Alligator mississippiensis: one gene and its partners. The protein of the gene in region 2 binds, or shares a complex with, the protein of the main gene of each other region. Links are inferred from orthologs where the notes say so. Each region holds a gene or a part of one and is shown on either strand. Other genes may lie near its edges. The genes, in order: KCNIP1, KCND3 and KCNIP2.

Region 1 (10,099 bases), on a different chromosome or scaffold from region 2:
CAGCAGCCAGGGACTATTTTTTAAAGTCCCCAAAGCATGTAATATTTCTCCCCTCTTTTCCCCTCCATGCTCAGCACATTTCCTCCCCTCTCATTCCCTAAACCCTTTCACCCACTCACTGCTGCTGCATCTTCAACTCCTATGGGAGGAGTTTCAGAGCCACTCATGTCTGTTCCAGCCAGGCTCTGCAAGGGACAGCAGCAGCACTGGAGGGCAATGTTTCCTCTAAGGAGCAGTGGTCCATGAGCACGCCACCACAGTCCGTGAGCGCACCGCCTTGGTCCAGTGTGGGACACTCACCGAAGGGGGCTGAAGGCTGGGGGCCAGAGGCCGGGGGCTGGGGCCAGGGGCTGGAGCTGGGGGCTGGGGCCAGATGCTGGGGGCCGGAGGCTGGGGCCAGGGGCCGGAGGCTGGAGCCAGAAGCCAGGAGCCACGGGCTGGGACCAGGGTCCGGGGGGTGGTGGCTGGAGGCTGGGGCCAGGGGCTGGAGCCTGGGGTCAGGGGCTGGAGCTGGGGGGGGAGGGGGTGGCTGGAGGCTGAGGCCGGGGGCCAGGGGCCAGGGGCCAGGGGCCAGGGCCTGGGGCCAGAGGCCGGGAGCCAGAGGCCAGGGGCTGGACCTGGGATCCAGGGGCCAGGGACTGAGGCCAGGGGCCAGGGGCTGGAGCCAGAGCCTGACATGGGCTCCCCAGCTCCAGGGAAGTGCTCCACTCCTCTGCATCAGGGCTGGGCAGTGGAGCATTTCCCCGGAGTCGGTGGAGCTCGTGCCAGCTGCCCACAGCAGCCTCCATCCTTGTGTTGCCTCACCTCGGGCAGGAGCTGCTGCCTGCCCCGAATGAGGCTTCGCCAGCTCCGGGACACTGCTCTGCTCCCCGGCCCCGGCCCCAGGTCCTCCCCAAGGTGAGGCAAGGCAGGGATGGAGGCTGGGGTGGGGTGCTGGCGCGGGCTCCAACGGCTCCAGGGAAGTGCTCCACTGCCTGGCCCTGATGCGGGGGAGCGGAGCACTTCCCTGGAGCCAGGGAGCCCACGCCAGCCCCCTGCCCCAGCCTCTCCTGGTGCACAGCCTTGAAAAGGCTGTGTATGGCCACACTTTTAGTTGTGAGCGGCCACACATGTGCACACCTTAGAGGGAACCTTGCTGGTGGGTCACTCCTCCCTGCCTAGTTCAATCAATGTTCCTGGACAGCTCGGGAGCAGACTCTGAGGAAAGGAACCTGAGACTGCCACTGCTACTGCCAAGGCAGTCACTAGCCAGGCCTGGCTTTATGTGCAGCCTGCTGTCACAGGACAGAAGCAGCTCTGGAGCCCCCCCACACTTGTCTACAGGTCATCTGTGGACAGCAGCAGCAGTAGCAGGCAGGTGAGGGACTGAATGGGAGAGGAGGGGAAGGAACATGCAATAGAGTGTGGAAGGGAAGGGATTAGGGAGGAAAGATTCTTATCTGCTTCAAGGACTTAATTCTTTGTTGCTGCTCCTATGGTACAATCTGCCTGCCCTCATATCTGGGGGGTGAGAAGGAGTGGGAGGGCAGGGGGAGCCAGTGCAGCTACCCCCACAGCACATGTTGCTGATCCGGCACCTCCAGTTCCAAAATTATGGATCCACCCATGACTCCAGATGATCCAGACCTCTGGGGTTATGGGAAAAGTGGGGAAAATTATGTTCCTTCCGCCCCCCCCCCACCTCCCCCAAGCAGTGTTACCTGGAGAAAACTTTCTGAGGGAATCTAAGATTGGCAAACCCCAAAAATGCATAAACTGTGAATCAAGGCCCTAAAACCCATAAAATAGATTTAGAAATCATGAGAAACAATATATTTTGAATAATTTTTATTGAAGTGTATTATATTTTGAGTTCTTACATTATACTAGGATCACAATTTCAAACTTTTCTCTGTAATCATGGGTGTGATTTTTTGGGTTAGGTGGGAGGGTTAATTAGAATGTGAATTGCAGTCACAAATCTTTAGGAACTGGGACTTTAAGTCATCCATTACGTAGTGTGAGATTCATAACACAATTATAATAGGTGGTACCATCAGGAGAACCTACATTTTCCTGTTTTTCCCGGGTAAAATGTCTAATAATCCCAATTATCCATATTCTTAATCCAGATGTAAATTAGGCCAATTTTAATTGGGTTCACATGCCACAGGGTTACTAACTAAGGAAGAGATGGAGAATAAACTATTCCAAAGAACTGTATGCTGACTATGCATACCATATAAGCAGGGTGAATAAATCGTAAGGAATAATGTAAACAAAAATGTTTACCTTTTTTGGTCCTTTGTCCATGAAGAGACTAGAATTTTCATGTATTTATTAATGGACAGGAATAGTTATCTTTTCTGTGGAAAAAGTCTTGGTCAGTTTTGTTCAATACCTTTTTACTATAAATGTACCATATTAAAATGATTATTTTTTTAAATTGGTTTTATAGATCATGTATGTTTCAGTTCCACCAATGCATATGAGCTCTCATGACCACGGCACAGGACATATTAATTCAAGATCATGTTAGCTAAACCTAGTACAGTTCAAACTAGCACTTCATAATCTTTTCTTCACTTTTCTGTTAAAGTTGGAAGATTAGTTCTGTGAATATGAGTGAGATGCATCTTTCCTTGTGCTAATGCAGGTCACTTATGTGAGTAAGTATAGTTGTGTGTAATCTAGTGTGTCTGTGAGCAAGTAAACACATTCACATTCTTGACTGTTGTACCCAAACAACACTCAATTACCTGGTGGGAAAGTGACAAGAGAAAAGGGAGTGCAAAGGCCACTAGACAGGTAATAAATCTACCCAACATCTTCCTCTCTTCCTCAAATAGAAAGTAACCTGCTATTTTAAAATGTGCTCCACAATCATAGCCAAATAAAATATTATTTTTGTACAAAACTGTACAGGACAAGATAAATGTTTTGATTCAGTAGAATCAGTAGAAAAAGCCAAGGTCATCTATTCAAGAAATAGCTTCATAACATGGGATATAATAACCAATAACACAAACCAGATATTGAACGCCTAATGGGACTGATGCTACCAATAGTGAATTAAACCCTTTAGTTTAAATATATTCTTAAATCAGATTGGGCCTCATTCTGTATTCACTGGAGAAAGACAAAGGGAGAGAGAGAGATTGAACAGTTATAGATCATTAATTTGCAGAAATCACAGTAGTTTCATGACCCATCTATATAGAGAAACAAGATCAAGTTCAGTCAATATTTTGTTCATAACTAATAGCTTGGGTAGCTTCAATTCTTAACAGTACTTCACATTTCCAATATGGCTTCTTTCTTAGAAACTTGAAGTGCTTTAAACATATTAACAGGGGTTTAGGTTGTAGCCGTGTTGGTCTAAGGACATAGGCAGACAAGGTTCCTTGGGTGAATTTGATATCTTTTATTAGACCAACAGGCTCCCAACTCAGTAAGGTGCTAGTAGTGACTATTTTTATCCCCTTGATACTAATGGAAAACTAATGCAGATAGTTACATGATCAAGAATAAAGTCATTATCAGAGCTGAAAGTAGGACCTAGATCTCCCAATACACACTAATTCTTGAACTGCCTGCCTGTGTTTCCAGTAGAGAAAAAGAAAAAAAGCCACCTCTTTTTCTTCTTCTTTGCAATTTAAGAAGGTGGGGGGAGAAAGTTAAAAGTTTTCTTTGCGTCAATACGTATAGTGATTAAAGATAAACCAGTTTTTGTTCTGTTTCCACTTGGATGTTTAATTGAAATACCGTTTTTACTCAAATCCAAGGTGAGATTTTTTTCCCCCTTTAACATGGGGTGACGAGTCCCTCATCTTGGAATTGGGCATGAGGAAGTAGGGTGGTAGATGGCTGCTACAGCTCCGGCACCAGCCCCAACCCAGGGTCAAGGTCAGAGCCACAGCTACTAGCTGCCCTCCCACTATCTTTGCTACCCCCCTCCCTGACTCCCCTACAGCCTTGGACCCACTAGTCCCACACAGACTCGGGCCCCAACCCCTTCTGCTTACCCTTGCTCTGGGTCTGGCGGGCTCCATTCACATTCCAGCCTGGGGAATGGAGCACACATTTGTTTTGGCCCCAGCACCACCCCATAGCGGTGGTGGTAGCAGTTTTGACCAGGCCCCAGAGCTGTCACTGCTCCTGTTGTTATGGGGCTGGGATGGGACAGGAGTAAACACATGCTTAGGGGTGGAGCCTGCCAGAGCTGGAGCAAGTGTAAGTGAAGAGGAGGGGCGGGGGCCAGAGGCTGCAGGGGGGCGGGGAGAGAGAGAGAAGGGAGACTAGAGGTTGTTCATGGGGCAGAAGTGGTGGGGAGGAACAGCCATGGGGCAAGAGGTTTGTGGCGGGGGTTGACAGATGGCAAGGGGCAGGGGTCAAGCCCCCCTGTATATCCAGGGCCAGGTCCAAGTGGGGCACAGTGACACAAATACGTACCCCTCCCAGTTGACCATGCTGCAGAAACAGCAGATGTAGACTCTTTTTAACCCTCCACAGCAAGCAAGAATCCTCCCTTCCCCTCCATGTTCAGCTGCACATTCTCTCCTCTCCCTCCCACCCCTCCCCCTACCTGCTGCTGCTGTCTCTGGCTGTCCCAGAGGCAGGAGGGGAGCTCCAGACCTGCCCCTGCCCAGTCTCTTGGTGTTCCCTGCTGGCCTGGGATCTGGTGCAAGGGAAGGGAACCCAACTGCTGCCACTGGTGTTAATAGGTGACCCTGGCTCCACAGCCAGTCTAGCTGGAGCAGGGCAGGGGTGGCTCTGGAGCCCCCAGTCCCTGGTTCAACCAGGGACAGTGGCAATGCCCCAGGCACAATTTACTCATCTACTCTCCCACTGAATAAAAGGGGAGTGATACTAGCTTTTGGGGGAAAAAAATACTCAGAGAAACATTGCAATAATGAGTTGTTATCCTGTGATATTAGGCCTGTAAACAAGATAAAGACAATTGCCCTCTTGAAGCCAGAGGTTGGGTCCCTGATATCTTGTTGTATTTTGCACATAGGGTAAGTACATTGTGTACCCATCTGGTACTTTGGTCCATATACACATGGATGGATCTAGGATTTTTATAAGTGGGGTCCAGATGGTGTGCTGTGCCATCACATTTAACACAGCACATTTTTGTCATGTTAAAAAGAAACAAAAATCTTTACTAATATTGCAGGGCCTAGGCTATATTATTCAGTTTAAGATCAAAGCAAAAACAAATATAACTTTATTAGAACATGTATTAATTACATATTTTAAAAAAACACACTAGGCAAGATGTTGTTTTATTAGTCCTGCAGTCAATAGAATGAAATGTATATGTCTTCTCATATTCGTGAAATAAAATCTTCTTGAGCATCTCGGCAGTGTATCCAATGCTTCACTGGAAGTAAGTTGCACACTTGAGCTAATGGTTTTAGCTAGAGGTAAAAGGGGTCTGCAAGGCTGTGAAATATGAGCTTTGTGCCTAAGTGCAGCTAACAGACAGCAGAACTACAAAAGAACGCGTAGCTAAATTAGTGGAATATAACACCTTTAAAAAGTGGAGAGGGTTGTTAACTGAGGAATGAAGAGTTAACAAGGAATCAGGTAGATTATAATAAACCATAAATTCAATTGATTCCCTCCCTCACTGCTGCCTAAATAGAAATGCTGCTGCCACTGCCAGACAGTTGGTTTTAAAGTTTGGCTAGACCAGGAATCAAAGGGGTGTTCACTGGTACCACCATAACACCTTGCCTTCACCTCTCCCCCACTCCCAGATCCACCCCAGCATATATTGATTCTAGCAACACATTGACATGTTATTTTGGTTTAATTGGTAGTTATTCTGAAGGGGCATATTTCTATGGTAATTTATGATGAGACCGGTATTAAACAAGCATTAAATATATTTAAAATTATTAAATATAACCCAAACTGTCCGTGTGATACTTACAATGCCTTAAGGCAACATTAAGAATGAGGGGAAGTGGGAGAGACAGATAAGTTTTCTTTACATGTCCTCCCCATGAAACTTTCTTTTTACTTTGTGTGTGGTGCAGAGAAAGCATTTGCAAAACGCATCTGTGTTGACAGTGATGCAAGGCAGACAGACAGACACAAATGGAGAAATTCACTGTTGGTTACACAGAAAAAATAATTACATGAGATATCACTGAGGTTACCTCCGCAGTGTTAAATTGTTCAGGTTCAGAGTAAACTCTTGGGAGAACTGCCCTGGAGAGGCAGAAACTAAAACCATAGATTACTGTTAAATGCAGAAATTGTTTGCATGAAGGAACAGAGAGAGGGAGGGAGAAAGGAGAAATAGAAATAGGGGGAGAGGGTGAGAAATGCACACATTCACAGGGAAAGGGAGGGAGGGAGAGAGAGAGAAAGAGAAAATGAGCAATACTTAGCTGAGCAGCAGGAAGGAAAGCTTGAAACAGATGAATTCCCAGCTTTAGATGTCTGCCAGTTGTTTTCCTAGCACGCCAGTGGTATCTGTGTGGTGCCTTAAAGGATGTGGAATGAAGGAGAGTCGGAGGGGCTTCAGACTTTGGGGATTGTGGTGGTGGTGTGCTCCTCTCTGAAACTTTTGCACTACCTTGGGCTAATTGATTTGTCAGATGGTAAGAGAACCTCCAAGCTTTCTATCTTCTATTTACCTTTATTTAAGTCAATATAGTAGCAGATAGGCTGAAGGAAGTAAAGCGTCATCTTTTCCATACTCTGATTTCTCATCATCATCTTCATATTTTAAGTGATATAGTGAGCGGTGCTAGAGTTATGCTCTGTGGTTTGTTTTAAAGGCTTTTGTTAGCTTTTGGACTTATCACAGCTGAGGGGAATTGTAAGTTAGGATTTTTGCCATAAGTGCTATTTTTCTTTTAGCTAATTATTAATTTTGTTTCACAGCATGAAATAAATCGGTCCCTACCTGGGAACAAAAAGTCTGTCTTGGGATAATAGAAGCACTGCTAATAATTAGATCAGTGGTTCCATATGATTCCCTAAAAACAATACTATTGTGACACTTGCAGTTTAAAGACCTGAAGAAAATAAATCTTTTGACTGTGTCTAACACAAAGGAAACTTTTCTGTAAGTATTTTTATTCTACATACTTCAGAGAAACCAAAGTAAACATAACAAATGAACACATATTTCTGATTTGAAGAATTATTCTGGGGCATTTGATCTCTCATCATCTTTTAAATTCAATAAAGATCTCTGTTTCCTTAGTTTTTTTTTTCATTTCTTTTCTTGTATGTAATGGGAGTGAACACATTTTAATTAAGTTAACTTAGGTTATCAGTATTTTCTGCCCAAACAGTGACACTTGTCCACATGTGAAGCTCACTAAGAAAATCAACTTCTATATCAAGCACATCATTTTTTTTAAAGAAAAAACTAAGAAACAAGTAGTCATTTTAAGATGCCTAGAAGTTCATTCCTGTGTAGATCATAAAGGTACCAAGTTTTGGTAACATAGGAGCAGTATAAAATAAAATCAGTTTAAAGACAGCAGTTTCTTGACACAGAGGTTACCTTTGAAATATGTTACATAAAACTGGCAGAAAGAATACTTAATGAAAATGAAGGTAATACATTCATTAGTATTTTACTTAACTCCAAGTTTCATCTTTTATTGAATTGTGTTGGGAACAAGGAAAAACAGTTTTAACCTCATATGTGCAAACCTACAGCCCTATAATGCAACCATGTAAGTAGATAATGTTCATTAACAGTACAATATAAAAATGTGGCTTATAGAAACAAATAATATTAGGGTCAAATATTTAATCTTTTATATGGAGTAACTTACATTAATGTTCATTTTTCCTATTAGAATGGATACATTTAGTTTATCATTATATAACCAAATTCTAATGACAGCTATATTGAATAAACTTACCAACCAATAATTGTTCATTTAAAATTATATCAGCATGGATAAACTTACCTAATAAAACACAATGCAAAAAAATGTACAATCAAATGCTGAGGCAGCTGCAACACTACTTCTTTAACTTTAAAGACATTTTTACCCATGCTCTACAGAGCTACTTAATGTTATTCCAACTTCCTTACAGATTACCCAGAACAGCTTGCACAATGTTTCTCCAGCCAAGGCAAATGATGGAGAGATGCAAAAGTTATTTATTCAAAAGTAAAGTGATTTTTAAATAAGTACCAATGTTTTTTCCTACTGAATATTGATACTTTAATGATCAAACAGTTGTTGGTAAATTGCTCTCACTAAACAAAACCTAGATTCAGATTTTTAACCAACATGCAACAAGGGTCATTCAACTCATTTGGGTGCTGAATATAGCAGTGTAGTCTCACTTTGCAGTGATCATTTTAATGTTATAACACCTTGACAGTCTAATAGGCCACCTCACAGTATATAAGGGCATTATGAACTAAACTAAACTCTTTGCAACTTTGATCAATTGCAACTGTTTTTTTTTTTCCTACAAAAAACATCCAGGCCAAAAAATGCATTAGACCATTATGGAATTGCATGACTCTTGGCTCCTTATTCCTGCTATAATGTATGTGTAGGGTGACTAAAGTTGCAGACTTCTAGCTCATAGAGATCTTTAAGGGTAGGGTTACACCTGTTCTTTGACCTGCTGGTGGCAACAATGGCAGAGGCGTATGAATGTACATTGCAGCAAAAATATTTCTAACTTGTCTTTATGTTCACTGTTCTTGTTTTACAGGATGTAAGCACTTCCATGTGCTGCTTGCTTGTGTATAATGCTACAATCAGAAACTGCACTGTTTAAGCAAATTAGGGTAGTTCCCTATTATCTGAAATTGGTTGTGCTCTTAGTTACTTTTAGAATTAGCATTATACTATCTCCTGCAGGTAAAACATGCTTATTTACAACCTGCTTATTTGTGCTGCTTTGGACCATGTAATGATCTCATGCAGATGCATCCATGCTAGGATTGACTGAAGTGAATGTAATTTTGGTGCAGATGCAGGGAGCTAAAAAGGCTTAGCTCATTATATGCTTTTAGTGTAAAGTCTGAGCAATTCCTACACTTGTATGAAACTTCATTAATGAAACCTTAAACAAAGGGAATACAGAGGTTGGCTTTGGAGTTCTTGTGTTCCAACCTGAATAGGAAGGATGGGAGATCTACAGGTCCTGATCTCCCTAAATTCTCCTACAGTGAGTAGTCCCTAAAAAATCACACTTCCTTGAAAAAGGTATTCATTTTGTTTTAATTATAAACAGATCCATTTTGCTTAGTGAAAAGGCAATGAAATTATTTGCTATAGCAACTTTTTCTGCAAAAGTAAAGCAGTTTGTGGGATAATAGTGAGATGAATTGCAATTTGTTTTGTGTTATCCCTGAACTCTTTGGTTACTATGCCCCTTGTGCACTTTGACAGCCCAGTGTTGCTCCATTGGTTCCCTACCTTCTTACGTTGCTGCTCATCAAGGGCTGCCCACAATCAAATCCAGAAAGAATGAATAAAAGTCAATGATTTGCTTCTAAGTGAGGTATAGGGATACAGTCATAATTAATGATTCACATTAAAAGGCGTTCAAGAAAACATTTTGTGAAATTTTATGGGAATCTATGCCTGTAGAAGGAAGGATCAAGGACCTTCCCCATAAATCAAGGGCTGTGATGGGTCTGTTTATGAGATTGGCTCTAGCTCTGCTTCTTTTGCTGAAGCATGCATCAATCATTTGGCTATCCTTGAAGTGCTGATAAATTTTATTTTTTCTAAATTAAAGGGATCCAAATCAAATATGATATGTGCTTTTGGGGAGCTATCAGCATAATCTCACTGCCAGGATGTCAAATACTGAAAAGTCGGTACTTTTTAAATGTACTATCTGAATATGGTGAGTCAGAGATTTAATTTTTTAGCATCGTGGTTGGCTGTCTTTGGTAGCTGTGATCAATTTTTTCACAAGACAAAATTGTAGATTATGAACAGAGATTTCTTGTTAGGTGAATAGGTTTCCCCTTTCAAGCCCTCATTATTAAAAGTAGCAGCTGTCACTTTTCTGTATATTACAGTAAGCTGTAAATACTGGGTGCCTATAGATGTGCTCATTTACATTTTAATTAGAATACTCCATTGTCACCTTACCATCACCT
Region 2 (9,748 bases):
GACTGGGGCAAGGTCAGTGTCAGGGAACGGGGCAGAGGCTGTGCGCAGGATCAGGAGCAGGGGCTGGGCCAGAGGCTGCAGTAGGGGCAGGGGCAGGGGTTGGGACTGTGGTAGGGTCAGGGGCTGGAGCAGGGTCAGGGGCTGGAGCAGGGTCAGGGTCAGGATCCGGGGCTAGGACTGGGGTAGGGGCAGGGGCTGGGGAAGGTGAATATGAGGGTCTGGGGCAGGGGAGGGGCAGGTAGCGGGTGCAGTGGTCGGCGGCGGAAGAGGCGGCTGCGGCGGCCGGCGGCGGGGAGGGATCGCAGGGCGCGGTGGCGGAGCGGAGGGAGCGGCGGAGCGGCGCTTGGCGGCCAGTGACATCTGGCGGCAAGTGCGGTGTGGGCGGCGGCGGGAGCCCCGCCCGGCTCCAGGCGGCCCGGGCCGGGCGGAGCTGTCCAGGGCGGCGGGTGCTGAAGGGTGCGCTGCACGCCGGGGCCGCGGCGCCCTCTGGCTGCAGCCGAGCCGGCTCCGGGCTCCGGGCTCCGGGCTCCGGGCGCGGGTCCGCGCGCTGCTCCCGCCGCCGCGCGAGGTAAGCAGCGCCCGGCTCTGCTCTGCTCTGCCCGCGGCCGGGGCCGGGGCCGGGGCCGGGGCCGGGGCTGCCCGGGGCCGGCGGGGCAAGCAGGCAGCGCTGAAGTCCCGCGGCAGACTCCGTGCCGCACCCCTCCCCCCGCCACATTAGCATGCAGGGTAAGGGCTGGGGTGTATTTAATGCCTGCGCTGGCGGGTGTCTCCGTGGCAGTGCACGCCGCCTCGCTGCAGCCCGCCGGCCGGCACTGGGCGCGGGGCGCGGGGCGCGGGGCCGAGGGAGCGAGCGCGCAGGCAGCCCCCGCGGGCGCCCAGCCTGCCCCGGCAGCCGGAGCGGGGCTGGAGGGCGGGGAAGCGCCGTCACGGACCAGCCTGCCAGGGAGAGACTCAGCCAGGCTCAGCAAGAAGAAGGAGCCGCTCTTGAGTCATCGACTTTGCCCGCGCTGGCTGCATTGCTCCTTGCTCCTGCCTGAGCTGAGGCGGGGAGTGGAGGGACAGGCAGGCAGGGCAGCCCAGCCTTTCCCACCCGCCCCCCAGCCCCGAGCCCCGAGCCCGTCCCTGCCCGCCGGCGCGAGCAGCTCTTTCCTGGCCAGGTAAGGCACGGCGGGGCCCCGGCGAGCGGGGCTCTCCTGCTGGTCTGGGCACCGAGGGAGGGGAGAAGTTTGCATGCGTTTCTACGAAGCCTGTTGCTGCGGCTGCCCGTGCTCCTGGTCCAGAGCTCGCACTGACTCATCAGCTGGCAACATTTGGGCAGCTTTTAGGATGTGCTGGGGCGGCGAGAGGACGGGAGTCTGGGCTGGGATGCAGGTGCTGAGGCTCGGACTGGCAGGTTTCGCTTTTCGATGCAAAGGGTTTTTGTCTGACCCACATCAAGATGAAAAGGGGAAAGACACACAGCTCCCCTCTCCGCCCAGCTACCAGCTCTCATTAGCGAGTCGCATGATGTTTACCAGCCTTTTTTATTATTCTTATTATTATGATTATTATTGCTAAGTTATCCTTGTCTGCTTCCAGAATGGAAAGCACCGTGTGATTCAGGGTGTTTCTAACTAGAGGACGTTACAAGAGGCATCTAGGCAGACTGACATCTCTGGCAGAAGTTAATGTGATGCAAATCCATCATGTATATCCTGAGCCTCTGAGTGAATGCACATAAATATATGTTCGCAGAAGTTTCTCTCCAGTGCATTATTGATCCTGCCGTGCATGTTGGTTTTGTGCGTTGAAATAGGAATCAAATCATTGCCAAGCAAAGCAAGTGCAGGTCAAGGACCTGAGATGGATAGACAAAGAAATGGATGGAGAATTCCTTAAGGAATTGGGAAAATTGAAAAAAAAGGCTTTGCTTTCAGTTTTGTTGACAGCGGTGTGGTGGCATGGTCCTTACCTCCGGAAAACACGGTCTGTTTGCTTCCTTGCTGTTGACATTTGGTTAAGTCAAAAAGCCAAATCCTTTTATCTTGTACACAAGCTCTTCTAAATACCATCAGCAGGCTGCTGATCCTTTGCTAACTAGTTTCTGCCAAATTATGCATGGGAATTAGCCAAGTAACATTTGAAATAAGGATGTGTCTGAATGTGTGTGTGTGTGTGTGTGTGTGTGTGTGTGTGTGTGTGTGTGCCCTTTCACTATAACACACAGCGCAGGTTGTGCTAAATATTTCTACCCTGCCAGCTGCTTGACACAGTAAGAAAGGAATTATTAATGTTACCCTCTGATCCCCGACTCAGTTTGCAGCAAGACGAGGTGGCTAATCAATGAAATAGTTGCATGTCCTATCACCCTAGACTTGAAGGGCACAATTCACAGGCATAGATGCAACCTCTTTTTCTCCCGCCCCCTCATTTCTCATGGACTGAAGACCTGTGAAAAGAAGCCGTCCCTAATGATAACGATATTCAGTTTTCCTTCCTCCTGTTACTACCCGGTCCTCACATACTGATACGCTCCAAAAATCCGAGCACCGAACAACTCTCACGTGTTAATCTTTCAAAATGGCTCTAACACTGAGTATTGGAGAAACAAATGGGACTAGATTACAACAGATTTAATGAAACTTTAAAAATTAAGCCTCTAGCACATACAGAAGGAACTTTTCTGAACTTCAGCCACATCTCTTCAGGCCACAGAGACTTGTAACTGAATAATACACTTTTATGGACAGCCTATGTAACCATCTCTCTCTCTTTTCATTTATTTATTTATTTATTTATTTTGTGGCCATTTTAGAGCTTACATGTTTAATTTTTTTTTCCCACATATGCTGTCAGTCTGGAAAGACCTTTTTATCTTAAAAATGGTCTTAAAATTGGCAAGACATTTATGAGTTACCAGTCTCTTATTTGAAACAGGTTTATAAGGAGCATTTGTAGTGTGCCTGACAGCAGTGAAGTGAGCTAGAATTTGGAGTCAGGGCTCTATGAAGTTCGAGTTGGACTTGGAATAAGATTCCTGGGACAGGTTTTGAGAGAAATAGAGGATCCCAATCGCTGTTACCGAGCAGAACCAGCGATGTACCACCCATTTCCAACCAATCCCCAGAGGATAGCACCAGTGTCCATAAAGCAAAACAGGGGACTGAGTGGCTTTGTGCATCAGTGACTGAATGCATAGCCTAGATGCCTTGGTCCTAAATCTACATTCAGGTTGGGTGGGTAACAAATGAAGTTAATGGCATTTTTTGCATTGGTGATGGCCACCCTTTCACTTCTCCACTGCCCAGTGAAAGGTGGCACTTTTGTTGGCTGGTTCTGTCTAGTCCCTATAGGGTCTCTCTTCAGCTAAGGATCGAAGCATATTTTTCCAAGTGGCATGGAGAAGTTTAAGCTGCTGTCATTTGCTGTTCTAGAGCTGTCAGTCTGGCATCTTTCAAGAGCCATCTTTAAACTAAGGGAACCATATAATGCATAGTGATCTCGAATAAACCTGCATGGTAAAATACCATGGGGTCAGGATTCTGCAGCTAGGGAAAATCAGAGAGATGCATCACAATGGGCTGTTGCATATATCATCATTACGAAACCTCTTATTGCAATGGTTGGAGGGTTGCATCAGGACAATTGACAAAACTTCACAGCGAGATGCTTCATACTATCAATATGATGAGTGATAATGCATAATACCCAGGGAGAGCACCATTTTGAGAACAGTTCACTAAAAGGTTTCACCACAGATTCATTCTGCTATCTTTCATTCAGTGTCTTGTGGCCTATTAAGATCAATAGTGCTATAGCACCAGCGATTGGAACGGTGCTGTTCATACAATTAAGATACGTCACGGTGAAATTATGTAGAGAGATGTTAGGTAGTTCAAGCAGTGAGGTTTCCAGCCTTATCCAGTGAAGCCAAAGGCAATCCTTCTATTGACTTAATGGACTTTGGATAGTCCACAGAATATCTTACTCAAATAATTGGACAGTAATTAAAATACAAAGGGAGTGAATGAAAACTAAGGTTAATAAGGTGAAAGGTCTGACTGAAGACCCAATGGAACAAGGAAATGCGGGTCTGCTGTAAATCAGAGTCACCGCATTGATTTTAGCAGAGCTAACCCAGTTTAAACCAGCTGAGGAGCCTCGGAGCTGTGGACATTTTTCTTTCTTTAGATGGGCCTCTAAGTATGGCAATGATAACAGGCTTGTTCCTTCACTTATTCAAGGACTTTTGCCTTTGTTAGTGAGGAAGCAATCAAGATAATCCTCGCAGGCTGGTAGCCGACCCTGTTAAAGTTTGATGTTTTACCTGTTTTGGTCTGGCATGGTTTAGATTTTGAGTGGGCGCGTCTACGTGTTCATTAACGCACATTAAGTTTAGTACTTGGTTAACCAGGTACTAACTAAATGCACAATAATTCACGCTACCGTGCAGTAGCGCTGGCTCATGGTTTTTCTGTGACACTTACTGCGCAGTAGCTTAATAACACTGCACAGTAGCATATTTTATTCTATATTGGCACGGTTTTTCACCGGCATGCTACTGCGCAGTGTTATTAGGCTACAGCACAGCAAGCGTCTCGTGTAGCCTGACACTACGCAGCGTGCCCATCTTACACACATGCACACGCTCACCATGCAGACTACCGAAGCTCAGGACTTCTGGGCAAAGCTGTCATGCCCTGAAGAGACCGATTTTTCCTCTTGCCCACTGGAATGGTGCAATATTTCACTGTAGTAAAACTTGTCTCAAGGAACTACCCAGGGGACCAGCAAAAAAAGCTGTTGCCTAGCAGAGGTTTTTAACTAAAGGTTGAGCAAAACTGTACTGCAAACCCTGGAAGATTTCAGAGTCAGTCTTTGATGCGAGCTACCAATGGGCAGTCTGTAGTGCTAGCTTCGCCGCATTCAGAGCTTGCTTTTTATGAGAAGTCCAACTGGGTCCATTTTAGGTCTTCGGCCACAAGCGTTTCCCCTGGTAAACTGCCAGTGGATTTCACCAGAGTTTCCAGCTCTTTCTTGACAGCTGTAGTCAGAACGATAAATGCATAAAGCTTACACCTGTGGAATTATGGATTCGTCTTGTTTGTAAGGAAGCAAATATAAATTAGCGTGTTTATGCTACTTTTAAATACTTTTAATGAGGAATCATTTGCCATTCAAAACTTCCATCTATGATAATGCTATAACCTTCCCTTGTTGATTATCATGCATATCTTTTAATAGTCATTCTTCTAAGCGGGGGCTAGCACAAATTAGCTCCTCTGTTGCTGTGGATTCCCTCAAAGATATTTATCCAGATAGTTTTAGCAGTCCCTGGGCAAGACAGCCCCAGCTGACCTCCTGCTATATTTTTATTTTATTTCATTTGTAGATGGAAATGATTTGACTTCAAACGGGGCCTAAAAGCAGCAGAACTGTCTTCTCCGATAACAAGGAAGGCCTCGAGCCATCATGGCAGCAGGCGTGGCAGCATGGCTGCCTTTTGCCAGGGCGGCCGCCATAGGATGGATGCCAGTGGCCAACTGCCCCATGCCACTGGCCCCCACGGATAAAAACAAGAGGCAGGACGAGCTGATCATCCTGAACGTGAGCGGGCGGCGCTTCCAGACCTGGAGGACTACCCTGGAGAGATACCCGGACACTCTTCTGGGCAGCACCGAGAAGGAGTTCTTCTTCAACGAAGACACTAAGGAATATTTTTTTGACCGGGACCCTGAAGTCTTTAGGTGCATCTTAAATTTTTACAGAACTGGCAAGCTGCACTACCCGCGATATGAGTGCATCTCTGCCTATGACGAGGAGCTCGCCTTCTACGGGATCCTACCTGAAATCATTGGGGACTGCTGCTACGAAGAGTACAAAGATAGGAAGCGGGAAAATGCCGAGCGGCTGATGGATGACAACGACTCGGAGAACAACCAAGAAGGGTCCATGCCATCCCTCAACTTCCGGGAGACCATGTGGCGAGCCTTCGAAAACCCCCATACCAGCACCTTAGCCTTAGTCTTTTACTATGTCACCGGCTTCTTTATTGCCGTCTCTGTGATCACTAATGTGGTAGAAACCGTCCCCTGTGGCACGGTGCCGGGGAACAAGGAGCTTCCATGTGGGGAGAGGTACGCTGTGGCTTTCTTCTGCTTGGACACAGCTTGCGTTATGATATTCACCGTCGAGTATCTTTTGAGACTCTTCGCGGCCCCGAGTCGCTACAGGTTCATGAGGAGCGTGATGAGCATCATTGACGTGGTGGCCATCATGCCCTACTATATTGGCTTGGTGATGACCGATAATGAGGATGTCAGCGGAGCCTTTGTGACGCTACGGGTTTTCAGGGTTTTCAGGATTTTCAAGTTCTCCCGCCATTCGCAAGGCTTACGAATCTTGGGCTACACTCTGAAGAGCTGTGCCTCTGAACTTGGCTTTCTCCTCTTTTCCCTCACTATGGCAATCATCATCTTTGCTACAGTGATGTTTTATGCAGAGAAAGGATCCTCAGCTAGCAAATTCACCAGCATCCCAGCTTCCTTTTGGTACACTATTGTAACCATGACAACTCTTGGGTAAGTGTTGCATTTTCTTTTATTAGGCCGTAGACAAACACGTGCTAGTTGCGGAAGTTTGGTTACTTTTTGAGGGTAAGTCTTTGTTTTTCTCTTAATAGTATGTGTTGCTAGGGGCTTTAGGACTGTTACAGGCCTGTTTCTCCTCTGCCTGGCACTTCTGCGGGCATTTACACCTATGCAAAGTGGTCACAAAACATCAAGTTTTGCAAAACAGTTTGCAAACGCTTGACACAACTGTGAGCGAGTGCAGGAGAAGCAAGGCCGTAGAGATGCAGGCCCTGCCATAATGGCCTGGTAGCATTGCACCTGCTTTGCATTCAGTGTTCAGACATGGAAATGGTGGCACACGGCACAAAGCAGTGGAAGGGCAGGACTTCTGGTTCTTTTCAGACGTATTTAACCAACCTATTACTCAGATACAAAATCACTGAAGTCATTGCTTAGTTTTGTATCTTCAGCCTTTACTGTAAATGATTTGACAGCTTGGCGTGCGGGTACCGGAGGCTTGCTGAATTCAAGCAGATATTGCGGCCAGTTGCCTTAGTGCAGGTATTTCCTGAATTACAGGACAGGCTTTGCTTGTTGTTATCTGAACGGGAAATAGCCCTTTTTGCTGTGTTTACCTGGGAGTTACAGAAGTTGCAGTAGTAATGGCAGTAATCTGTAGCCATTACAGTAATGTGCGAAAAGCTCATATGGACAGGTGCAAATAAACGGCATAATCACAAGCAGGGGAAACACAGCCTGGAGGACTCTCTCTCCCCCCCGATATTTCATTTCTCTCCCGTTGACATTACAGCTGTTTCTGCAAAGATTATAGATGTGTGTTTCTGTCACGCAGGACTGAAACCTTCCTGAAAGAAAACAGACTAGCCAAACACTCGCTGTGACAGGCTTGTACCAAGTAGAGTAATCTTCAGAGGTTGTAGCTGCAGGCGCTTAAAGTTGCACAGTCTAATGCAATCTCTTCATTCCATAATTCATAATCATGTGCTAAATTTTAATTTACTTTGCAAAGAGCTTTCCTGCTGAGGAGCTCAATGAGTTTTATATTTGATCTCAGATGAGTCTCTCCTTTTCCTGTTTCCTGTTTTAAATACTTCCCTTTACCTATTAGGCATAAAAAGGCAGACAAAAGAACTTTTAAAATATTCAAATTGTAACTCAGCTGTCAAGAAGTGGCAGAGTGTGGGCCTGTGACAGCTGTACGTTTTGGATTTCTTTGGCAAATAAGAGCATAAAGCATATCTGCCATGAGAACCGAAGGAGATGATAATTTCCCTAGCCTTGAATATGCCCGCAGTCTGGCCAAAACCTGCAAACTTGGATGACTAAAGTTAGGCTCCTCCACCCCGATCGGAGTATTTCGGTAGCAGTGGCCTGCTCTACTTGCAGCTCCTGAGTTTAAAATGTCGACTTTCTGCAACTTCCAGACTCGGACTCCACGATCTCATCGCCACCGTGTCCGAGCAGCTCCCAGTAGTGCATTAAGCAATGTGACTAATATCTGTCACATTTGTTCTCTCCTGCTCTCCCCAAGGGGAGGAATGAGCAGTGGAGTGTTTCTTCTTGGGTTTGTTTAAGGCTCTGAACACACGCGCAGGTTGCTGCACGGTTGAGTTAGAGAAGGGAAGGCCCAGGAAAACACTAGGTAGGCATTAGGCAACCAAAGAAATCTAGTCTAGGCTGAAGTTTACTTACTAGCCCACTTAGCTGAATGAAACGGCCTCTTGCTTGTAGTACCTTTTCTTTCTGCATGTTTTGATAGAGAAAAAAAACAGACCGGTCCTGAGTACTTTAAAGCGTTCTCAATCTATGGCAATCATAGGCATTATACTTGAATGAGTGCTTTAAACAGGTTGACAAGAATAAAATAATTACAGGCATTGAAACAGGACCTTGTAAGATATAGCTGGAACAAAATCTATTTAAGCAATGGTAGCCATCTGCAAAATATGACTGATGCGATGAAGCATGAACATTCACCTTCATTGTTTTGGGGAGAAGGGAGATGATAATTAAAATACTTTGCCTTAGCACATAGCATGTTTGCTGCACTGCCGTGATGGGGCTGTTTTTATAGAGTTGTGTCGTTTGAGACATGCAAAGCGTCGTTTGGTAAGAGAGCAAAGACAGAATCCTGGGCTTGCTTACTCACCCTCCCTCTCTCTCCTCATCTCATTTATAACATGCCTGATTGCCTGTCACTTTGGTCTAAGAACCGAGACCTGTTGCTCTGCAATTGTTTGCTCCAATCACATGCTAGAAAAGCCATTACTGCAAGGTACAAGAAAGAGCAACTTTCATCAAAGACAGGTTCCTCCGCCCCCTCCTCCCAGATGGGCGTGTGCCAGACACAACCATTGCAACCCATAAGTGAATGCACTTACACAAGAGTTAAGGCTTTGCAGACTCCCTGCTGGATCGGCCTCAGAAAAAACACCTTGGCGTGTCCAGCTGAGCATGCACGTGTGGTATGTGACCCGTCTGTGGTGCTGCCCACTGCACACGCCGCACATGCAGTGCTCCCTGTGCCGTGGGGTTTGGACACCAGCAGATCCTGGTGTCAAAAAAACTTATGCCTATAAAAAGTGGGGTGGTACACATGGTGGCAGTGCATGCCGCCCAAAACTAGAGCCTGGCTCCAGCTGCCAGCCAGGCTCCTTGCTGCCGAATCGTCGTGGCTGCAGCCCCCAGACACCCCCAGGATCCCAGGTAAGGCTGCTGGGGCCATCCCAGGTGTTGACCCCAGCCTCCCCTACCCCACCCAAGGCAACATGCCCCACACCGGAGCATGCATGTATGAGCTTTCCCCAGGGACAAGTAGCAGCAGCAGCAGCACATATTGTGCCACTATTGCTTGTCCGCGGGGAAATGCATGTACCTGCTCATGGGGACGTGCTCCTTGATGGCTGAAGAGCTGCTGTTTAGGGCATAGTTCAAGTCCCAGCTGTGGTGATCAGTGTATATATAACAAAGGGCAGCGATGGGACAGGGTGCCATGAACAAGTTCCCACTGCTCTGTGGCCGGGGGGGGCCCAAACAACAGTCGCTACTCCCACGTGGATGCAATTATACAAACATTCGGGAAAAATACGTAGAAACAAATCATTTGGATTCAATTCATTTCTACCTTTCCCATTGAAATACTGACTGAGATTACATGATGCAGGTGGTTAATGGAG
Region 3 (10,636 bases), on a different chromosome or scaffold from region 2:
CGGGTGGGGGCTGCCACGGTGCCCGTCTCTCAGCCTCCGAAACTGGGTCAGACTCTGGCAGCCGCCCCTGCTGCAGCAAGTGCCCGCCACGCCGCGTGGTGCTGGAGACGGGTGCTGGGCCTTGCCCCTCGTGGGGCCCTGGGCAAGCTGGGGCTGTAGCCGGGTCCCGGGCTGGGGGCAGCCCAGAGGGAGCCCGTCCCCGGGCACATGGAGAAGGGGCCGGGGGCACTGCCCCCCGGCTCGGGCACCTCGTGCAGGGGTTGGCAGGCAGGCCCACGGCTCCCAGCACAGCCCCGTGCTGGCCTGATCCTCCGGCCCCCCTGGGAAATAGGGGGCTCGAGGTGCCGGGGCACGGGCTGCAGTGGCCAGGGATAGCTGGGGCTGGGCCACGGGCAGCCCGTCACGCCCGCAGCTCCAGGCCGCGTCGGGTTTTAATGCGAGGAGCTCGTGGAGATTGCTTCCTGGCGCAGCGGTGCATGAGACTGCATCTCGGGGCCGCGCAGCCCCCGGCCTGCCCAGCCCCAGGTCCCCGTGTGCTCGTGTCCAGCGCGGGGGGGTGCGTGTGCAGGTCTGCTGGGCACACGTGTGGGCATTCCCAGGGCTTCTGGGGCTCTGCATACGTATGTGTGTGAGGTGTGAGCGTGTGTGCATGTCCCCTGGGTGTGTGCGAGCATGTGCTCTGTGGGTGTGTGTTCATGTGTGCATGTGCTCTGTGGGTGTGTGTATGAGCATATGTTGTGTGTGTGTATGCGCGTGCGAGCACATGCTCTGTGGGTGTGTGTGACAGTATGCTCTGTGTGTGTCTTGCATATATGTGTGTGTGTCCTGCATGTGTGTGAGTGAGTGTTCTGTGCATGTGTGTGTCCTACATGTGAGCATGTGCTCTCTGGGGGGGTGCGTGTGTGTCCTGGGTGTGTGTGAGCATGGGCTCTGTGTCTACGTGTGTGCACTTCTGTGTACATGCAAGCCTGTGCTCTGTGGGTGTGTGTGTAAGCATACACTGGGGGGGTGTGAGCACATGCTTGGTGCGTGTGGGGCCTGCCCAGGGCCCCACAGGCGTGTGCCCAGCGAGTGTGCGAGGCGGCAATTCCCTCTGCTATGGCTGCCGTGCCGCAGGGGGGAATTAATCGGGGATACTTTGCTGACGTGAGCAAGAAGTAGAAGCCTCCTGGGACTGCCAGGGCCTTGCTGGGCACCAGAGCAGCTCCCGTCACGGCCCCCGGCCCTGCTGCCCCATGCCGTGGGGGCTGGGGGGTCACTGCAAGACCTGCCCCTGCCCCGGGGACCCGGGACCTCCCAGCAGCTGCAGCCTCCACAGCTCCTCTCGTTGCCGAGCCCGCCCCATGCGTGGCAGGGACAGGGTTAATCCGTGGTGTGTGCCTTCTGTGTGTTCTTGGCATGTGCACTGGGCACTGCCAGGGTGGAGCAGGCCGGCCCTGTGTGTGCCCCATGTGTGCTGTGGCCCCAGGCTCAGGGCTCTGCCTTCACGGTGGCAGCACCGACATGCGTGTGCGGTGCCTTTCCAGCACTGCGGGGGTTAACACAGCTGGATTTCCCCGTGCTGCAGCCGTGTGCAAGGCGGGGGGGGGGGGGGGGGGGCACTGGAAGGAGCCCCAAATCTAGGGCAGCTGCTTTTGTTGAGCAGGGGCGGGGGGCTGCAGTGGGCCACCGCCTTGCCCTGGGAGAGTGCAGCCCCATGCCTCAGTTTCCCCCTCTGGGAGAGGCTGGGGTTGGGGGGGTGCGTCCCAGGGGGTGTTCCCTGAGCCGAAAGGTGCTTGCAAAGCAGCGCTGCTGCTTGCTGGCAGTGACGGAGCAGGTGTAGGCGGGCAGCGTGTGCGGCAGTGTGGCGTGTGGTTGTGTCTGGTGCGTGTTCATGGGGGGGCGGTGGGTGGGGGTGTGTGCTAGGCGGGCAGGCTTGGATGATGCAGTGTTTGTGCGTTGTGGGGAGCTAGAAGTGTGTGGATGTGATGCGTGTGCATTTGTACCACCGGTGATTGTGCAGGTGTATGTGCGTGTGCTTGGCGGGGGGGGCGCGCACGCACGTGTGTGTGTGTGTGGCAGGGTGTTGCATGCCATGGTGTTTGTTCATCACGGGGTGCTGGAAGTGTGTTCACACGGCATGTGTGTGTTCATGCGGCTGGTGTTGGGGGAGCAGGTCTCCACGTGCACCTGTGTGTGCGTGTGCATGTGTGTCAGGGCACTGGGCGCAGTGGTGCTTGTGCATCATGCGGTGTTGGAGGTGTGCGTGTGCACATTCCCCTGGAGGCAGTTGTGTGTGCATATGACACCGTGTGTGTGTGGTGGGGTGCTGGGCTCAGTGGTGCGTGTGCATCGTGGCATGCTGGAGGCGTGCATGTGCGTGTTCCCACCCAGGCTGTGTGTGCACATGGTGCAGGGTGTGTATGCTTGTATGTGCAAGTGGCATCGGGCCCCACATGCCCTGCTGCTGCCTCCTGGGGGTGGGGGCGCCGGCTGGATCAGCTGCAGCCAATGCCCCCCCTGCAAATTGCCCTGGGGCTGGCTCTCCCCCTGCACGGGGGGCTGCAGACCACGCTGGGGGGCCGGTGGCTCCAGGTTGTGAGCCCCCCACCATGCTCCCCTAAGTGGGTGTCTCCACCCCTGTACCCTTGGGACCCTGCAACCCTCCCCTAACCCCCCCCTCCCCCGGCATCCTCCTGGGTCCCCGTGGGAAGCTAATGCCCCGCTCAGGGCGCGTGGTCCCGTCCCAGGCTGCCCAGCTCCCCCCAGCCTTGCGGGGTGCAAAACCCCACCCCAGCTGGGCACGGGCCCTGCTCCTCCAGGGCAGACTGGGTCCTTCCCTGCCCCGGTGGGGGTGGCCTCCCTGCCCCCCCCCTCCCATGCCCTGCACCGTGTTTCCCCCCTCCCCGCGCCCGCTTTGCTGTCCTGGCTTGCTCCAAACAAAGGGGGTTCAGGGCAGCGTGGGGGGGCTGGGGCTGGCAGTGCCCGGGAGGTTTGAGGCTGATGCTTCCTGTCTCCAGGTGTCCGGCTCTGTCCCGGGGGCTCTGGGGCCTGTGCTGGTCCCTCCTGTGGCTGCACTCGTGCACATGTCACAGGCTCCAGGACTTTGCTGGGGGGGGGGGCTGATAGGACCCCCCTGGCCTCCAGAGACCCCGGCCTGGAGGCCTGGCTGTGCTCGGGCTGCAGCCTCCAGCCCCTCGCAGCCCCAGGCCCTGGTCCCCGTCCAGCCCAGGGCTCCTCCAGGATGCCCCCTTTGGGGGCTTGGGGAGGGGGCCGCAGAGGGGCGTTGCGAAGGAGGCAGGAGGAGACGTCCCTTGGGTGAGCGGCTCCCAAACCCCCCAGTTGGCTCCTCTCGTTAGCGGCGGATTCATTAGGGGAAGTGGCTGGGCTGGAGCTGAGCCAACCTGGGCGTCCAGCTGTCGGCAGCTGCCTGGGGAGATGCAGGCTGGGCTCCTTTCCACTGGGGTCCCCAGTGCGAGCAGGGGCAAGGGGGGGCATGCTGCCTCCTGAGCTCCCTGGGTGGGTTTAACTCTCCCCGATGCCAGGCGGGTCGTGGGAGACCGGCAAAAGCCACCCCAGCGCTGGCAGGTGCTGTCTTCTGGTGCTGAACAAGGAGCTCTGGTGGGCCGGGAAAGGGGCAGCTGCACGTTCTAGTCAGGGAAATACGGTAAGAGCAGCTCCCAGACCCCGCTGCCTGGCTGCCGGGCCGCTGCTTGGTGACTGGCAGCTCAGGAGAAGCCTTTTCCTGCCAAAATCGCAGCTCTGGGCGTAGTGCAAGCGTGTTGTATGCGAGGCACTACAGTAGTTGCCCTTCTCGCATGTGCCCCCAGGTGTGTGTGCACATGTATGGGCACTCGTGTATGCACAGGTGTGTATGCACACGTGTGAGTATACACTGCGCTGCAAGGGGGGGCATACGGGTGTGAGTGCCCATGTACACACACGTGTGCGGGCATGGGAGTATGGGCGAGGGCAGAGGCTGGCAGCGCTGATGGATGGGCCTGAGGTGAGCGGACAGCAATGGAGCGAGCGGCTGCAGCAGCTCCCTGCCCGGTGCCGGCACACGCCTTGGCCCCACTGCGCTGGGACAGGATGCCCGGGGGCCTGGGCAGCTCGCAGCCCCCAGACATGCCCCATCTAGCTACTGTGTCCTGTGCGCTTCCTCCGGGGGAAACCGGGCCGTGGGTCTGGGCACCTCGGGGGGCTACGTTCTGCGGTGGGGGGAGCAGGGTGTCTGGGAATCCCCTGAGCTGCTGGTGTATAGGGCCTGTGACACTTGCAGCCAGCCCCACCCTGGTCAGGAGAGGTGGGGCTGGCACCCCTGGTCTGGCTCTGGCTGTTGGGGTGAATTTCTTGTAGCCGGGTCTTACAAGAGCCGGGGATCAGACCCTAAGCGGCCTGGGCTTTGAGTGAGAGGATTTAAGGAGGAGGGGAAAGGCTGGCCATTCTGGGCCTCAGTTTTCCCCAACTGTAAAGTGGGTTTCTAAGTGAACCTGCACATGCTGCCCTCTGTTGGTTGGAACTGGAGCTGCCCTCCTGCATGCCATAGGCCCTATATTGCTGACCTGGTAGTGATTCTCCTTTAGCTCCTTTGGAGTCTGCCGTGGGGGTGGGGGTTGCTGTGGCTGCACACGCAGACGTGTCCTGGCTGGAGGTCCGCGGCGACCCTGGGCTTTGGGCACGAGGGCTCAGCCCCGTGCCAGGCTGGTGGGGGCCTCCCGAGCCCCCCACAGCTGGGGCGGCCGGGCAGCCTTAATCACACCCGCACCTGGGCAGGAGGAGCCAGGAGCCGAGCTGTGTTGCTGCTTAATTAAATTGCTGCGGAAAGCGAGCCATTAGCGCTTCATTAGCGGGAGTTAATCACCACGGGGGTCTCCTGGGTCCCCGTGCAGTGGCTGGGCTGGCCCAGGAGTGCGTGTGCATGGAGGGGGCCGCAGTGGGGATGCGGGGGGCATGGACGCAGCGTGTTCAGGTGCACACGTGTGTGCATGCACACATGAGCTGTGGAGGGAAGGGCTGGATTGTCCCTGCTTGGCGTGTGCAGGGGGAAGGGTGTACATGTGTGCACGTGTGCTACTGGCAGGGGGGGGGCTGTGTTTTCTACCTGGTGCGTGTGCACACGTGCCCCTGGTGTGTTGCAGGCCTGGTGCAATAGCGGGGGGATGTTTGTTGGCGCTGTGTGGACGTGTGCATGCAAATCAACCTCCCCTGGGGGTGACCTGGTGCCCGGGCCAGGCCGGCGGTGGGGCGATACAGCGTCCTTCGCACCAGGCGCCGGGAGCTTTTGCCCATGTCTCCCTGGCACGGGTAGCGCCGCTGGCCCCGGGCACCCCTCTCTCTCATGCACTTTTAACGAGGGCATTAGCAGGAGCGAGCGGAGCTGGGAGAGCGGGTTTGCCCCGAGAGCCGGACGTGCCCTGCGGGAGGGCGCATCGGGTACATGTGCCAGGGGATCTCACCTCGGCCCTGTGCTTCCACCAGGTCACGGCAGCCCCCTGCCCCTGCCGGGCCCGTGGTGGGCAGCAGAAGCCGGTGTGGCCTCAGGGCCGGGACTTCCTCGTGTGGCTTGCAAGAGTCCCCTCCCCTGTGTGTGCCTCAGTTTCCCCATCAGTGCTTCCCCCGCCTTGTGGAGAGGGGACAGGTCACCCCATGTGCCCCGGCCTCGTTAACACACCCCGGAGCCTGCGGCGAGTTCCCTCCAGTTCTGCCCCTGTTCCTGTTGGCCGTCCGTCGGCCTGCAGCTTGGATCCTCCCCAGAGGCAGCCGCATGGTCCCTGCCTGGCCCCGTCTGGGGGGGGGCCTGTGTGTGGGGCTGGATCTGGGGCAGGACGGGTCCCTTGGCGTGGGTGTGGAGAGTGCGCCGTGCTCAGCCGGCGGGGCCCGGGCGCTGGTCTGGGCTGAGATCTCCCCCCAGCTCCCCCGTCCCGTGCAGGCGCTGCGAGGCTGCACGTGGCAGGGGCAGCAACAGGGGTCTGTGCACACCAGTGCACACGCGTGTGCGAAGGGCCCGCGTGTCCCCGGCTCACCCTGCACTGCTTTTTGCGGGGCTGGGGCTCCCTCGTGTGGCCGCTCGGGCCAAGGGCACCAGGTGCCAGCGCCAGGCTGGATGGCACCAGGGCACGGGCCCGGCCCGAGACCCCCGGCTGAGGCTGCCAGAGCCGGGGGCCAGGCCGCCTGGGTCCGAGCTGCCCCTGTGTCCTAGGCCCTATACAGCTGCCTGCTGGTGGTGATTCTCCTTTAGTTCCTGCAGCCCAGTTTGCCCTGGCCAGGGAGCATCTGGGCTTTGTGGCACATTGGCAGGGGGGTCCGCGGTGCCCATGGCTCTGCTCCATGGGGACCCAGCTCCGTGCCAGGGCTTTGGGCTGGCAGAGATTGAGGGGTTGGGGTTGGGGTTGGGGGGCTCCTGCTGGGGTCTGGGGCACATGAGCAAGCAGGAGGCAGGAGAATGAGTTGTGTCCCGTCCCCCCCACCCCTGCTTCCCCTTCACCAGGTGGGGAAACTGAGGCAGGCAGCAGCCGGCTCCACCGCTCTCCTGTCCCGGAGCTCCACCCCCGTGCAAGGCATCGTGGGGGCTGTAGTCGCCCGTGGAGGGGGGGGGGGGCTGGGCTGCAGCGAGGGATGCTGGGGAAGGGGCTGGGAGATGGAGGACCTGGCAGTGCGGGGCTGGGGCCGGGGCGGGGGGATGCTCTGTGCCCGGGGGCAGGCGGTGCAGGTTGCCCCAGCCCCATCCTTGGCCTCGGCATGGGCTGAGCAGAGGATGCTGCTGCCCAGGGGACCCGCGGAAGAGGAGGCAGCGGCTGCCCCCGGGGGCCACGGGGTGAGTCTGTGCCCGGCCGGAGCGGGGCACTGCCCGGGAGCCGTACCGGGGTGCTGGGGCCAGGGGGCACCGGCAGGCTGGAGCGGTGCTGCAGGGGGGCTGTGCCCCCTCCCCACCCATGCTAGCATGCTGGGCAGGGGGAAAGCCTGGGGTCTGCCTGCCCACCGCCCACAGGGCAATGCTGTGCGCTGCCCATAACAAGGGCTGATGCCTGAGTGTGCCCTTGGCACACATGGCAGGCCGTGTCGGGAGTCCCCATGGCGTCAGGACCATGCCCTGTTGCACATGTACAGCGCCCGGCGCGGTGACACCCGGCTCCGCGGCTCAGATTCCTCTGGAGCGTGGCGGCAGGTGGGGCTGTGCCTGCTTCGCCCTGCCTGGGGGGCAGCGCCGGCCAGCCTGCTGCCCTACACGGGCCTTGGGCACCTGGGAATCCCCTCTGTGGGGCAGGAGAGCCGCCCCCCAGCGCTTGTCATCCTTAGGCTTCAGACTCAACGCCCCGTGGCAGTAAGGGGGGAAGGCTCAGCCCTGGTTCTAACGTGCCCGTGGCGGTGGCCTCTGGGCGCTGTGGCCCAGCGCCAGCTGTTCCCTTCCATGGCTCGGAGGGGAGCCAGGAGGTCCCCGAAATGCCGCCGGCCTCCCCAGGGCACGTGGGCACCCGCCTCTGTGACTCCAGGACAGCGCAGCTCCTGGCGCGTCGCCCCGGGGCACCTTGAACATGCACGAAAGGAGGCGCTGCTGCCTCCGTGTGTGCACATACCAAGCACACGTGTGCCAGCCGTGGCCCGGAGCGTGCCAGGCCAGACCGGGGGCATCGAGCCCGGGGCCCTCGGGCTGGGCATGTCCGTGCCCCTGGTGACGGGAGGACGCCCCGTGCCTGCCCCGCACTGCCTGTAACGAGCAGCCGTGATTACCGAGCTGCAGCCCCTGGCGCTGGGGGCCTCCCCCACCCCTTAGGTGATGCTGCCTGGGAAGAGCATGTCAGGGGTGGTGGGGGGCAAGGACCCCCATCTGGGGGGCGGGAGGGTGCTCTGTACCCCTGCCCCTTGGCACCCATATGGGGCATGTGCCCCCCATCCACCCAGCCCAGCCCCAGCATCGTTCCTCCTGCCTGGGAGGCAGCAGCGCCTGATTGGTCAGTGGGACCTGTGGGTCCAGGCGTTGCCATGCCAACCGGAGAGGGGTGGCACAGGGTCTCGGCGGGCATCACTCCCCTGGCAGCCGCCTGCCCAGGGCCTCGCGCGTGCTCTCCGGCTCCTCCAGCCCCTTGCAGCGGGCACAGACGCCTTCCTAGTGCCAGGCCTGGCCCCGCACCGATGCCCGGGGACCTTTGGCTCCGGAGGAGGAGGAAGATGCCGGTGCCCAGCAGGCACCTGGGCCGTGCCCTGAGCTCCTGGGGGGCCACGGGGTCCTGCCCCGGTGCCCTGGACCCCTGCCGGCCACGCTGCAAGAGGCAGCTGGGCCGGGCCGTGCGTGGCTTGTACCGCTTCCTCACCGGGACCCTCTCCCCAGGTAGGCACCACCCCAGGTCTCCCGGCGGGCAGGGCTGGGGGCCACAGAGGAGGTGGGGAAAGCACGGGGGTCTCCTCATCCCGTGACTCAGGGCGCTGGGGCTTTCTCGGCACCCCCAGGCTCCGGTTTGGTCGCCCGCGGGTGGCTGCGGGTCCGGGCCCTGCCCAGTGCGGGCGTTAGCAGGATGCGGCCCCGGGGCAAGAGCCTCGCCTTCCATTACCCAGCGCAGCGGTGACTTCACCGCCCCAAAATAGCGCCTGGCCGGCTCTTCGCGCGCTGATTAATAACCCGCTCTGCGCGGGGGGGCTCGGCGCTGGCCTAAATTTATCTCTCTAATGGATGGGGCCCAGTGCGGGCACCCGATCAGTCAGCCCCGTGCCAAGGTCACGCCCGCGACCCGGGGCGCTGGGCATCCTAGGCTCTTGTGCCGATTGCCGGAGGGTCCCCCCAGGGCTGCCCCGTGCCGGGGGGGCTCGCGGTGCTGCTGGCTTTACCGACCGGCTGGCGGGTCCTTCTTGGGACCGCTGCCCCGCTCCGGGCTGCGGCAGGCGGGGGTGGCCTCCCGTCCTTCCAGCCCCCACCCCCGGTGCAGCGTACAGCTCCGTGCGCGGGGTCGGAGCCGCTCGGCCTGGAGCCCTGAGCTTCCTGGCATGGGGGCGGTATGGGGGCCACAGACGCATGCTCCCTGCCCCCCTCCCAGAGCTGGGGAGCAGGATGGGACCTGCTGCGAGCTTCCCCTTCCTGGCACTGTGGTGCTCAACCCCTGCCTCGCCCATCTCCGCTGGGCATCCTGCACAGTTTAGAGCAGCCTCGAGGCTGCTCCAACCTGCCCCCGGGACCCAGATGCCCCATCCTGGCTGGGGGCCCGCGGCTCCCCCGCCCCCCATGCCAGGCGGCCCCCCGGGCCCCGGCAGCTATTAATAGGTGCCGGCACACGCTGGCAGGATGGTAATTGGTTGGGGAGCTGGTGCCCGCCTCGCTCCCAGGCTCCCGCGCGCGGCCCGAGCGGGGGGCAGGCGGCGGCCGGGCCGGGGGCCATGGACAGGCCGGTGCCCCACAACGACAGCCTGCTCTACGCCGCGCTCATCGTCATCCTGCTGCTCATCTCCTACTGGTTCACCACGCGCTGCTTCAAGATCATCAGTGGCATCGAGGGTAGGGCCTTGCACACGCGCGGCCTTGCACACGCACGGGGTCTGCACTCGCCCGGGGCCTCTCGGTGGCCTGCCCTTGCTCCACATGTCCGTCGCGGATGGGAACGTGCCCCTCCGCCCCCTCTGCCCGTGCCTGCGGCCTCCAGTACCGGCCTCCCTGGGCCCGACCCAGATCCGAGCTCGATAGCGTGTGCGCGGCGGGGGGAGCTGGGGGGCCGGGGCTTGGAAGGGGCAGATGAAGGGCGACGGGGGCAGCTGGGGCAGTGCCGGCGCCAGGTGGGGGGTGGCAGAGGTCGGGGTGGCCTTGGGGCGAGGCAGAACTCGCCGCGGTCGTCATTAGTCTCCAGAGTTAACACGTGCTGGGGTGGATGCGCCAGGCTGGGGGTGCTGTGGGGAGGGGCGGGCAGGAGGGGTGCCATCGCACTGTGTTCAGGGCCCCTGTGCGACCCCCCCAGTTGGAGTAAGGGTAGGGGTGGGCCTACGGCCCCCCAGCCCTGCTGGCACCCCTCACTCCCGACCCGCACCCGGGGGTTGGCTGGGGGGGTCTCTGGACCTGCCAGCCCGGCTCCTCTGGTCTCCTGAGCTCTGCCCTCGCCAGCCCGCACCCCCCGAGCCTCGCCTGAGCCCACCGGGCCGTCTTGTGCCTCAGCTGCCGGCCTGGCTGGAGGCCCCGGGCTCCTGGGCTCCTTCCCCAGCCGCGCCAGGGCCCCCGGGGACTGGCTTCCCCCTTCTGTGCCTCAGTTTCCCCCCTGGGGCAGGGCGCAGGGACAGCTCTGGGTGCAAAACCTCTGCACCTCCTATGCTGGAGCTGCCAGGGCGGCAGTGGGGAAACTGAGGCAGCTGGGGCAAGGTAGACCCGGGTGTAGGGGCTGGGGAGAGTGGGGGCCCTCGAGCCCCTGGACGCCCCCCCAGTGCCACGTGGGCCCGTGGGGGTGCTCTAGGGGTGGCAGCGAGGATCTGTGGCTGGAGGGGCTGGGCTGAGGGGGGCTGCGGGGCGGGAGTGAGGGCCCTGCTGCCCCCAGCCGCTCCCTGGGCCCGTCGGCCTCGCCCGTCTCGGGTGCCACGGCCTGGCGGGGAGAGCACCGGGCTTGGCTCGAAGCCCTGGACTCCTGGGGTCCTTCCTGGCTGCCCCCTTCCTTGCCTCAATTTCCCCCTGGGCAGAACTAGATCATGG

Evidence for each region.
Region 1: the proteins of KCND3 (region 2) and KCNIP1 are in contact, whole or in part, in a crystal structure (PDB 2NZ0), measured with the Homo sapiens proteins. The link is inferred for Alligator mississippiensis from reciprocal best matches to the Homo sapiens genes KCND3 and KCNIP1. Residues at the interface, in NP_001365898.1 of Homo sapiens: Ala6, Ala7, Trp8, Leu9, Pro10, Phe11, Ala12, Arg13, Ala14, Ala15, Ala16, Ile17, Gly18, Trp19, Pro21, Val22, Pro26, Met27, Pro28, Leu29, Ala30, Pro31, Lys34, Lys36, Arg37, Asp39, Trp54; in NP_001030009.1 of Homo sapiens: Leu67, Arg69, Gly70, Phe71, Glu74, Val80, Phe85, Ile88, Tyr89, Phe92, Phe93, Tyr101, Leu105, Phe109, Phe122, Ala125, Leu126, Leu129, Leu130, Leu138, Trp140, Thr141, Leu144, Tyr145, Ile161, Val162, Ile165, Tyr166, Met168, Met169.
Region 3: the proteins of KCND3 (region 2) and KCNIP2 are in contact, whole or in part, in a cryo-EM structure (PDB 7W6S), measured with the Homo sapiens proteins. The link is inferred for Alligator mississippiensis from reciprocal best matches to the Homo sapiens genes KCND3 and KCNIP2. Residues at the interface, in NP_001365898.1 of Homo sapiens: Val5, Ala7, Trp8, Leu9, Phe11, Ala12, Arg13, Ala14, Ala15, Ala16, Ile17, Gly18, Trp19, Met20, Pro21, Val22, Ala23, Asn24, Cys25, Pro26, Met27, Pro28, Leu29, Ala30, Pro31, Asp33, Trp54, Arg60; in NP_775283.1 of Homo sapiens: Arg112, Gly113, Phe114, Asn116, Glu117, Cys118, Val123, Phe128, Ile131, Tyr132, Gln134, Phe135, Phe136, Tyr144, Leu148, Phe152, Phe165, Leu169, Ile172, Leu173, Arg180, Trp183, Ala184, Leu187, Tyr188, Met201, Met205, Ile208, Met211, His228.

What each region holds. Positions count from the first base shown.
Region 1 is NC_081832.1:48,528,552-48,538,650, reverse strand, and holds the start of KCNIP1 (Kv channel-interacting protein 1), read left to right. Parts: upstream 1-6,153; 5' UTR 6,154-6,487; coding exon 6,488-6,596; intron 6,597-6,882; exon of another isoform or gene 6,883-7,066; intron 7,067-10,099. UniProt on the Homo sapiens protein: Regulatory subunit of Kv4/D (Shal)-type voltage-gated rapidly inactivating A-type potassium channels. Regulates channel density, inactivation kinetics and rate of recovery from inactivation in a calcium-dependent and isoform-specific manner.
Region 2 is NC_081837.1:44,250,529-44,260,276, reverse strand, and holds the start of KCND3 (potassium voltage-gated channel subfamily D member 3), read left to right. Parts: upstream 1-5,384; 5' UTR 5,385-5,451; coding exon 5,452-6,560; intron 6,561-9,748. UniProt on the Homo sapiens protein: Pore-forming (alpha) subunit of voltage-gated A-type potassium channels that mediates transmembrane potassium transport in excitable membranes, in brain and heart. In cardiomyocytes, may generate the transient outward potassium current I(To).
Region 3 is NC_081829.1:100,313,172-100,323,807, reverse strand, and holds the start of KCNIP2 (Kv channel-interacting protein 2), read left to right. Parts: upstream 1-6,656; 5' UTR 6,657-7,860; coding exon 7,861-8,308; intron 8,309-9,863; exon of another isoform or gene 9,864-10,636. UniProt on the Homo sapiens protein: Regulatory subunit of Kv4/D (Shal)-type voltage-gated rapidly inactivating A-type potassium channels. Modulates channel density, inactivation kinetics and rate of recovery from inactivation in a calcium-dependent and isoform-specific manner.